Linked DNA regions of Xenopus tropicalis. The protein of the gene in region 1 interacts with the protein of each later gene in a biochemical or structural test. Links are inferred from orthologs where the notes say so. Each region holds a gene or a part of one and is shown on either strand. Other genes may lie near its edges.

Region 1 (4,466 bases):
TCGAAGGCATCTACCATTTTATTGTAGAATCAATGAAAGATTTGTCTTGGGTAAAGGTGCCCATACATTATAAGATTTGCTCATTTGGCGATATCCCAAAAAAGCAGATTTTTCCCCAGTATGCCCACGTAAAGTGGGTGCTATCAGGCTTAATTAAAACAACAGAGATAGGAGTGGTTGGAGTGAGGACCGCATCCATGAGCCAATGCGGTCCCTGATCTGTCTAAAAAAACCAAACTTGCCTGATCGACAGTCGATTTTTGGTCAGAGAACAGTTGGATAGAGCTGTTGGAGGTCCCCATACACAGGGGGATAAGCTGCTCATTGGTTAGCAGCACAGCAGTGAACTGCTGCCTTGCAGGACTGGCAGGGTGGATGGAATCGGAAGCAAATTTGGGTACCCGGAGTCGGAGGAACATAAACTGAGCTGTTAGAGTCAAAGGATTTATGTGTGGACTCCATAGCCCTGCCAGGGCTGTGGAGATAGATTTGTGGGTCCAGAGTTGTAGTCAAAAGCAATTTTAGGTACCAGGAGTCGGAGTCAAGGTACCATAAACTAAGGAGTCGGACTTGAAGGATTTATGTATCAACTCCACAGCCCTGAGGACTGAGGTACCAGGCCTGACTTCAGTATTGGGTAAAAGGAGATTAGAGTAGCCTGAGAATGGGAGGTAATGAGAAGTGAAAAGATCACCTGGACCAAAAAAATAAAAAATAAATAGCACCTGGGCCGCTTTTCTAACAAATGTAATGGTTTCCCAGGTTTAAAAAAAAGTTGGCTTCCAGTGGGGCAAAAGTAGGACAAAATACACCAGAGAGGGCTGAAGTGATGATGTGGGAGACTCCTCTTAATGGATTATGATGGGGGGAGCCTTTTATACAGCTAGGGGGGATGCTGGATCACAAGCAGTGCAGTCACCATGATTTCCAGCACTTGTGTGCACATGATCTTACTGTGCCACCCCTTGCAATTCCTGTTGTTACTTTTGCAAAGATATATTTAGGGCAGGGTCGCTATGAGTGTTTAAAAACCTTTCTGAAGGCTTTATTAAAGTGTCAGGTCTGTAGGCAGTTATCACGTTTCTGGTGAGATGGCAGAGAATGTCACTGAGGTATTACCCTTAGTTTTCAGTTTTGCTATCCCATTCTGCCTCACTATTACCAACATTTCACAGTACACAGCATTCTTGCTAATGGCCGTCCCACTGAGGTGACACAGCTCACCTTCATACTAGTGAGCGCCCTAGAACTAAGGCAGCCAGGTTTGCAGCACACGGGGAGAGAATGCAATGGCATTCCAGCAGGGGGCGCATTATTACCTCCGAGTCCGCACTGACATTAGCAGCAGCACCCACACGGAAGGGGAGAAATCACGCACGGTGCTGCACCTCTTTGCGCTGCAGGAAGAAGGTTTCCACGGCCCCATCCCGGTGCTGCTGTAACCTGCACACACTGCTGGGGGTGGGGCAGGCTGGTTAGGCGGGAGGAGGGATACGGTGCTGAGCCCCGCTGCGAGGAAGACTGCACAGCCTGGTGTCACCTACAGCCCCCTCACCTCAGAGATCAGCTGAAGGCTCTCCCCAGAGCTGCCCCCCACCTCTCCATCGCTGCTCATCGCTCTGCAGTCCTCGGACCCACGGGAGGCGCCTTTATGTGTAAACGGTGGGTGCTATAGCGGGTGTCCCTCCCCCTTCCTATGCCCTGTTTGTATATCATGCGTGCAGGGTCAGCATTGGCTTTTATTGCCCCGACGCTCCCATTCCATAAACACGGTGCCATGGAGCAGATTCCCCAGACTGGAATGTAATGGGCTCCTGCAGCCAGAGATCGCGCCTGGAGCTGCTCGCTTATTGCACACAGGACTGACAGGAAATCTATCTCTCTCTCTGTGTGTGTGTATATATATATATATATATATATATATATTGCAGTAGATGTAGGTTACACCGAGAACACTTCTTGATTAACGTGCGGCCTTCCAGCTGTTATTAACTATTACCCCCAGGAAACACTGATATCTTGGAAGTTGTAGTTCAGTAGCCGGGGGCCCACAGGCTAAACGAAAGCCAAGTAGATTTGGGCCACAGAATAGGAGAGACAACCATATATATATCAATGGGGGGCACTGGGTATAGTGCCATTGTAGTTGGGCCATTGGTGCCTGACGGAAGCCCTTTCTACTATTGCTGTTTTGCTCAGGTCGCTTCCGGTTTCATGTACTGTCAACTTACTATTTTTTTTTCAAGAAGGCAAAAAAAAAAAAAAACCAACAACTTCTGTATTCCCCGCCCCCCACCCAGGAAGCTGAGCTGTAGTAAAGTGAGGGAAGAAGATAGCAAAATAATGTGGTGTGTTTGTCACTTCCTTTCTCTGCTTTGAACACCTGTGGCTTGGCTGCCAGCATATCATGCAATGCACACAATTAAATCATTGCCTAATCCTCTCAGCCTCCATCATCATTTTTATTATCCTATGTAGTAGGGCAATTTACCTCAGGGCTGTACTTATTACAGGGAGGCCTCAGTCATGCTGCAGAGCTTCATATCATGCCATGACACAGATTTACACACCACTCTGCTGGATTCCATTTTCAGAGGGAAAATTTATGTTGGAATGTAAATGCCTTTCTGCTGGTTTCACGGAAATCACACAGACATTCATTTTCTGGGCAACTCTATAGAGATAAAATGGGATGTGCTGTTAGGCTGGCAAGAACTGTAGCACGTGTAGAAACCTCTGTATATAGCATGGTTTATATCCATTTCTTACACATTATTATTAACATAAACATGTAAGATGCCATTGTATTCCGCAGTGCTATAAAACAGAAGTTTTGAATGTGAAGGAGGCCAAACATACTTATATTTATTGGGGCAGTTTGTCCATTTTTAGCCACACTGCTTTATCATCAACCACACTGCCTGCAACATCTTTGCATTTCAGTCTTAAGCTCTTAATGTACCTGCTGATGCCACATGTGGGTGGGTGCTTGGGTATTGACAGGTAGGCAAGTTAGAGAAACCACAACACCCACTCATTTCCTCTCAAATCATTTTTACCAAGTCAGTCTCATGACAGATATTTGTCGGTTCATTAATCTAGCAGGGAAAACTTCATTTGCCATTTTACTATTTCCACCAGTGCATAGTGCTTCAGCAGATGAGAAAGCTGCGTCTCTTTTTCACTTCCTGCTTTTCTGTTTGTGCTCTCATTCCAAATGAAGATAACAATATAAAGGTGACTGCCATGGATGACCCTTTGTACAGTATCTGTTCATGTGGCCCAGTTGCCAATCAGTTCAATACTGCGCAGGATCATTTATGGCCACCTTAGGGTGAAGACATACAGAGCGACTAGTAGCAGCTACTTGTCACAGCTACTAAAATAAGCAATGCTGATCTTTTACTGATAATTGTCTCTACATGTGTTTTACAAGAGGCAGTTCTCATTTTTGTCTTTGGCAGGGTATTTTCTGGTGTTTAGTAGCCGTGAGAAGTATCCGTTCATGTGGCCCAGTTGCTAATCAGTTCAATACCGCACCGGATCATATATATATATATATATTTACTCTTATGGGTGAAGACACACAGAGCTACTAGTAGCAGCTACTTGTCACGGTTAATACAATAGGCAATGCTGATTTTTTACTGATAATTGCCTTTATGTATTTTTTACAAGAGGCAGGTCTCAGTATTGTCTATGGCAGGGTATTTTCTGGTGTTTAATAGCTGTGACAAGTGGTTGCTACTAAGTAGCTCCATGTGTCTTCACCCATAAGGGTAAGAACCCATGGAGTGGTTCAGAGGGGCTTTTCACAAGCAACTCCTATTGTTGCCTTTTCGGAGCGGTTTGTCACCCACAATAGCAGAGATCTATCGCTGACGACTGAGTCTAGGTACTTACCCTAAAGCTGGCAATACACAGGCTGATTGAAGCTGCTGACGTGGTCCCTCCAGATCGAGTTATCAGCTTATTGGCTTGTGTATGTAGGCATCACTGTATGATGCGTTTGTTTGCCCCAGGGGCAATGACCAGAGCCCAATTCGGCCCAGGGTATGGGTGAATAGAGATCCGCTTTTTGGGGACCTCACTGAATGGGGTGAATTTGCCAGTTTAACAAAAGATTTGATCTGATGAAAGTCAGCAGTGTAAAGAAAGTGTTAGAGTATATTTTGGTAACTGATATCTGTTTTTAACCTATGTAATCTAAGACTGTATGGATTATAAAATAATTAATAAGAAAATAAGTAGGATAAATGAGAACACTTCCTGCTGCCCTTAATATAGGTTTGCACTAACACATAAAGGCAATGTATTTATTTCATTTGTCGTGACTTTTGCCTCTGGCAACCAAATACCATATCTGACAAATAAGACTACTGTGAAAAAATAGATGGCACTAATTTGATGTTTTTTATTGCAATAGATGTGTTTTTATGATCAGCTATAAGTGGGCTGATTGGGGT
Region 2 (3,570 bases), on another chromosome or scaffold:
ATGCCATACACATTGCATGGAAGCTGCAGCATCTCCTCTGCCAGGTGTAGAACAACCCAGTCCTTAAACCCAGTGACCCAGTCCTTCAACACAGTTTAGGTGGTGTTGGAGGGTTTCCAGTGGACTTGACAGTATTGGCTTATAAGCAATTTGACTGGGAGGGGAGTGTAGGGAACCTTGCTAAAGCAGATCACTCTATTTGTCAGGGGCTGACTTTGCGCCCTTTTGGTATATCAGTCATACTCTATTGCTACCCCTGCTGCCATAAGTCTAAATAGCAGTGCAGTGAGCTTTGCTATATATATGCATCGCATTGTTTTGGGGTAGACTCTTGCTCAATAAATTTGGTTACCTCTCTATGGCCCTTTAAAAGAAATATGTTCCTGGCAGGGGAGAGTGGGGTATAAAAGTGGAACCTAGCAAGACCAAATTATTTTTGGAACTATGTAGAATGCTAAGGCATAAACTCATAGCCAGAGTTGTGCCACAGTGCCTGCATTTGGTATGAGGGTCCCTGATGGACACATTTGGTCCTGCTTGGTGTCTGCCCTTTGTAAATGTGCAACTGTTGTGCTTATGCTGCTTTTGTGGGGCCGTGCTCTAGACTCTCTTGCCCACCTAGTTTCTCCCACAGCCAACCAGTACAATAGATGCAAAGGAACTATTTTCCTGGTGTTCGACTTTTGTGAGCATGATCTAGCAGGCTTGCTGAGCAATGCTCATGTCAAGTTCACGCTCTCCGAGATCAAGAAGGTAATGCAAATGCTGCTCAACGGCCTCTACTACATTCACCGGAACAAGGTGAGCAAGTGCTCCATTCTCTTCCCATCCTGGGCATTTACTGTTCTTGTAGGACCTGTGTCTAATGGACTCATGCCCACAGATCCTGCACAGAGACATGAAGGCAGCAAACGTACTGATCACCAGGGACGGAGTGTTGAAACTTGCAGACTTTGGGCTTGCCAGAGCATTCAGCCTTGCCAAGAACAGCCAGCCAAACAAGTACACCAATCGCGTGGTTACGCTCTGGTATCGGCCCCCTGAGCTACTCCTAGGTAAGGACGGTCATGTGGTTATATGCACTAATAAAGTCTGAATCCCCCAAAAAGGGAAGCTGTCGGGTCATAACATTCATGTCTGATGGAAGCCATAATAATAGTCTTTGCAATTGATCCAGCTCTGATGCAGGATATACTGTTAGCTAATGTATATCTTAAAGGGGACTTTAACTTTTAGCATGTTTATAGCAGCTTTTCAGTAGGTCTTCATTTTTTATTTATTGTTTTTGCTTTCCCCTTCTGACTCAGCTTTCACATGGGGGTCACTGACCCCAGTAGCCAAAAAACTATTGCTCTCTGAGGCAACAAATTTATTATTGTTGTTACTTTTTATTATCTTTCTAGTTAGGACCCCCTTTATTCATATTCCTGTCTCTTTCAAACCTTTGCCTGGTTGCTAGGTTAAATTGGGTCCTAGCAACCCAATAGCTGCTGAAATTCCAACTTGAAGAGCAACTGAACAAAAAAAACTAACACAAATGAAAAAACAAAAGTCAATTTGCAAATTGTTTCAAAATAGCACTCTGCATTAAATTAAAAGTTAATTTAAAGATGAACTACCCCTTTAAACAGTGTGGATAATATTTTTCCCATTTTCTGCTTGTAGGAGAGCGTGATTATGGTCCTCCCATTGATTTGTGGGGAGCAGGGTGCATCATGGCTGAGATGTGGACCAGAAGCCCCATTATGCAGGGGAATACGGAGCAGCATCAGCTAACACTCATCAGCCAATTATGCGGTTCCATCACACCAGAGGTGAGTTTTAATGAATTGCTCTGGTCCAGGATCATATCTAGGACTAAGTGGTCTCATTGGTCGTGGGATAACTAAACTAAAAAAAAGCAATTTACATTAATTATGTTTTATTCAGTTTCAGAGCTATTTAAGTATTTAAAGTTTTTAACTGCCAATAATGAATTTTTTAACAATGCTGTCACCTGCTGGTTGGTTCCTGTAACTGTTGTATTCTGATGTTGCTCTGCTTAGGAAAGAGATCAGAACCCTTAGATATCTGTAAATCTAATTAAACACCTAAACCGGATAGTTTATTTTATTAATATATTTTAGGTCTGGCCAAATGTGGACAAATATGAGTTGTACCAGAAGCTGGAACTGCCCAAAGGCCAGAAAAGAAAGGTGAAGGAAAGGTTAAAGGCTTATGTGAAAGATCTCTATGCACTGGACCTTATAGACAAGCTGTTGGTTTTGGACCCGGCTCAGAGAATCGACAGTGATGACGCCCTGAATCATGATTTCTTCTGGTCTGACCCGATGCCTTCTGATCTGAAGAACATGCTCTCTACTCACAATCAGTCCATGTTTGAATACTTGGCACCTCCTAGGAGAAGAGGCGGGCACATGCCCCAACAGCCAGCCAATCAGGCACGGAATCCTGCTGCCACAAACCAATCAGAATTTGACAGAGTCTTTTAAAGACATTCTTTATTATTTATTGGGAGGAAAAAAAAGACTTTTTTTAAAAATATATATATATTTTTTTTAATTCCTTTGTAAGTAAGCCTGTATAGTATGGGGAATAAGGACTAGCTGCATACTTTTGTTAGCATAATGATATTCAGAAGCGTGGCATTCGTGAAACAAAACTTTTAACTGTGATACTTAATCTAAAACTCTTGCTACCATGCTGATACACACTGGTCAGTGAATCGAAAGTTTTCCGAACAGCTTTCTGTGCTGCTGTACCTATGTACTTGATAGGGAATGTAAATAAAGTTTTATGTTCTCCTATTATTTTATGGCTTTCTTTCTTGCCATTTTAAATTATTATTAACATTTATTTATAAAGCACCAACATATTCCGCAGCGCTGTAAATAATCTGTTATTTCCATGGAACATAGGTTGTGTTCTCCACCAGTGTTTTTCAGCCAGCACATGCTGGCCATGCTGTTTTATTGGGAAATACAGGTAAAGTTTGAATAAATCATGGGCCCGGATTCTCCAGGCAGACACTGACTAGTGATGAGTGATAACATGCTGCCTACCCTGTTTCCACATTTTGGGGGATGGCCATTTTATGTATAAAACATACATTGGTTTGCTAAGTGGCCTAGTCCCTGCCCATAAATTGCTTCTACAGATATTCAGCCAATCAACTAATCATGTGATCCAATTGTTACTGAGTGGGCTACAGTTGAAACAGGGTCATCCATTGATAAGAATTGCCATGTTTGTGTATAAGGCCAGTTTGTACATATATTTGACTGGACGACTAGATATTCCAGAATGCTTTGGGCCTTTCCTAGTGGGGGCTAAGATTTATTATACCCCAGTTCTTCTGTCCCAAAACACTGGAGCACATTTAAAAACGCTGTGCAATATCCAGTAGAAACCAATCACAAATTAAACAATGAAAAGCAAATATGCAATTGGTTGACATGGGATACTGCCCACGTACAAATTTACCTAGTGTTGATAAATGAGCCTCCCTTACTATCCCGCGTACATAAGTACCTGGGCTGTAAGGCATAACAACCAATCTGTGATTAGTGT

Evidence for each region.
Region 2: of the proteins of mbp (region 1) and cdk9, one has a biochemical effect on the other in vitro, tested with the Homo sapiens proteins (2 studies listed by BioGRID). The link is inferred for Xenopus tropicalis from reciprocal best matches to the Homo sapiens genes MBP and CDK9.

What each region holds. Positions count from the first base shown.
Region 1 is NC_030682.2:98,825,178-98,829,643, forward strand, and holds the start of mbp (myelin basic protein), read left to right. Parts: upstream 1-1,467; 5' UTR 1,468-1,662; intron 1,663-4,466. UniProt on the Homo sapiens protein: The classic group of MBP isoforms (isoform 4-isoform 14) are with PLP the most abundant protein components of the myelin membrane in the CNS. They have a role in both its formation and stabilization.
Region 2 is NC_030684.2:24,559,010-24,562,579, reverse strand, and holds the end of cdk9 (cyclin-dependent kinase 9), read left to right. Parts: intron 1-604; coding exon of another isoform or gene 605-622; coding exon 623-801; intron 802-883; coding exon 884-1,055; intron 1,056-1,665; coding exon 1,666-1,814; intron 1,815-2,126; coding exon 2,127-2,492; 3' UTR 2,493-2,808; downstream 2,809-3,570. UniProt on the Homo sapiens protein: Protein kinase involved in the regulation of transcription.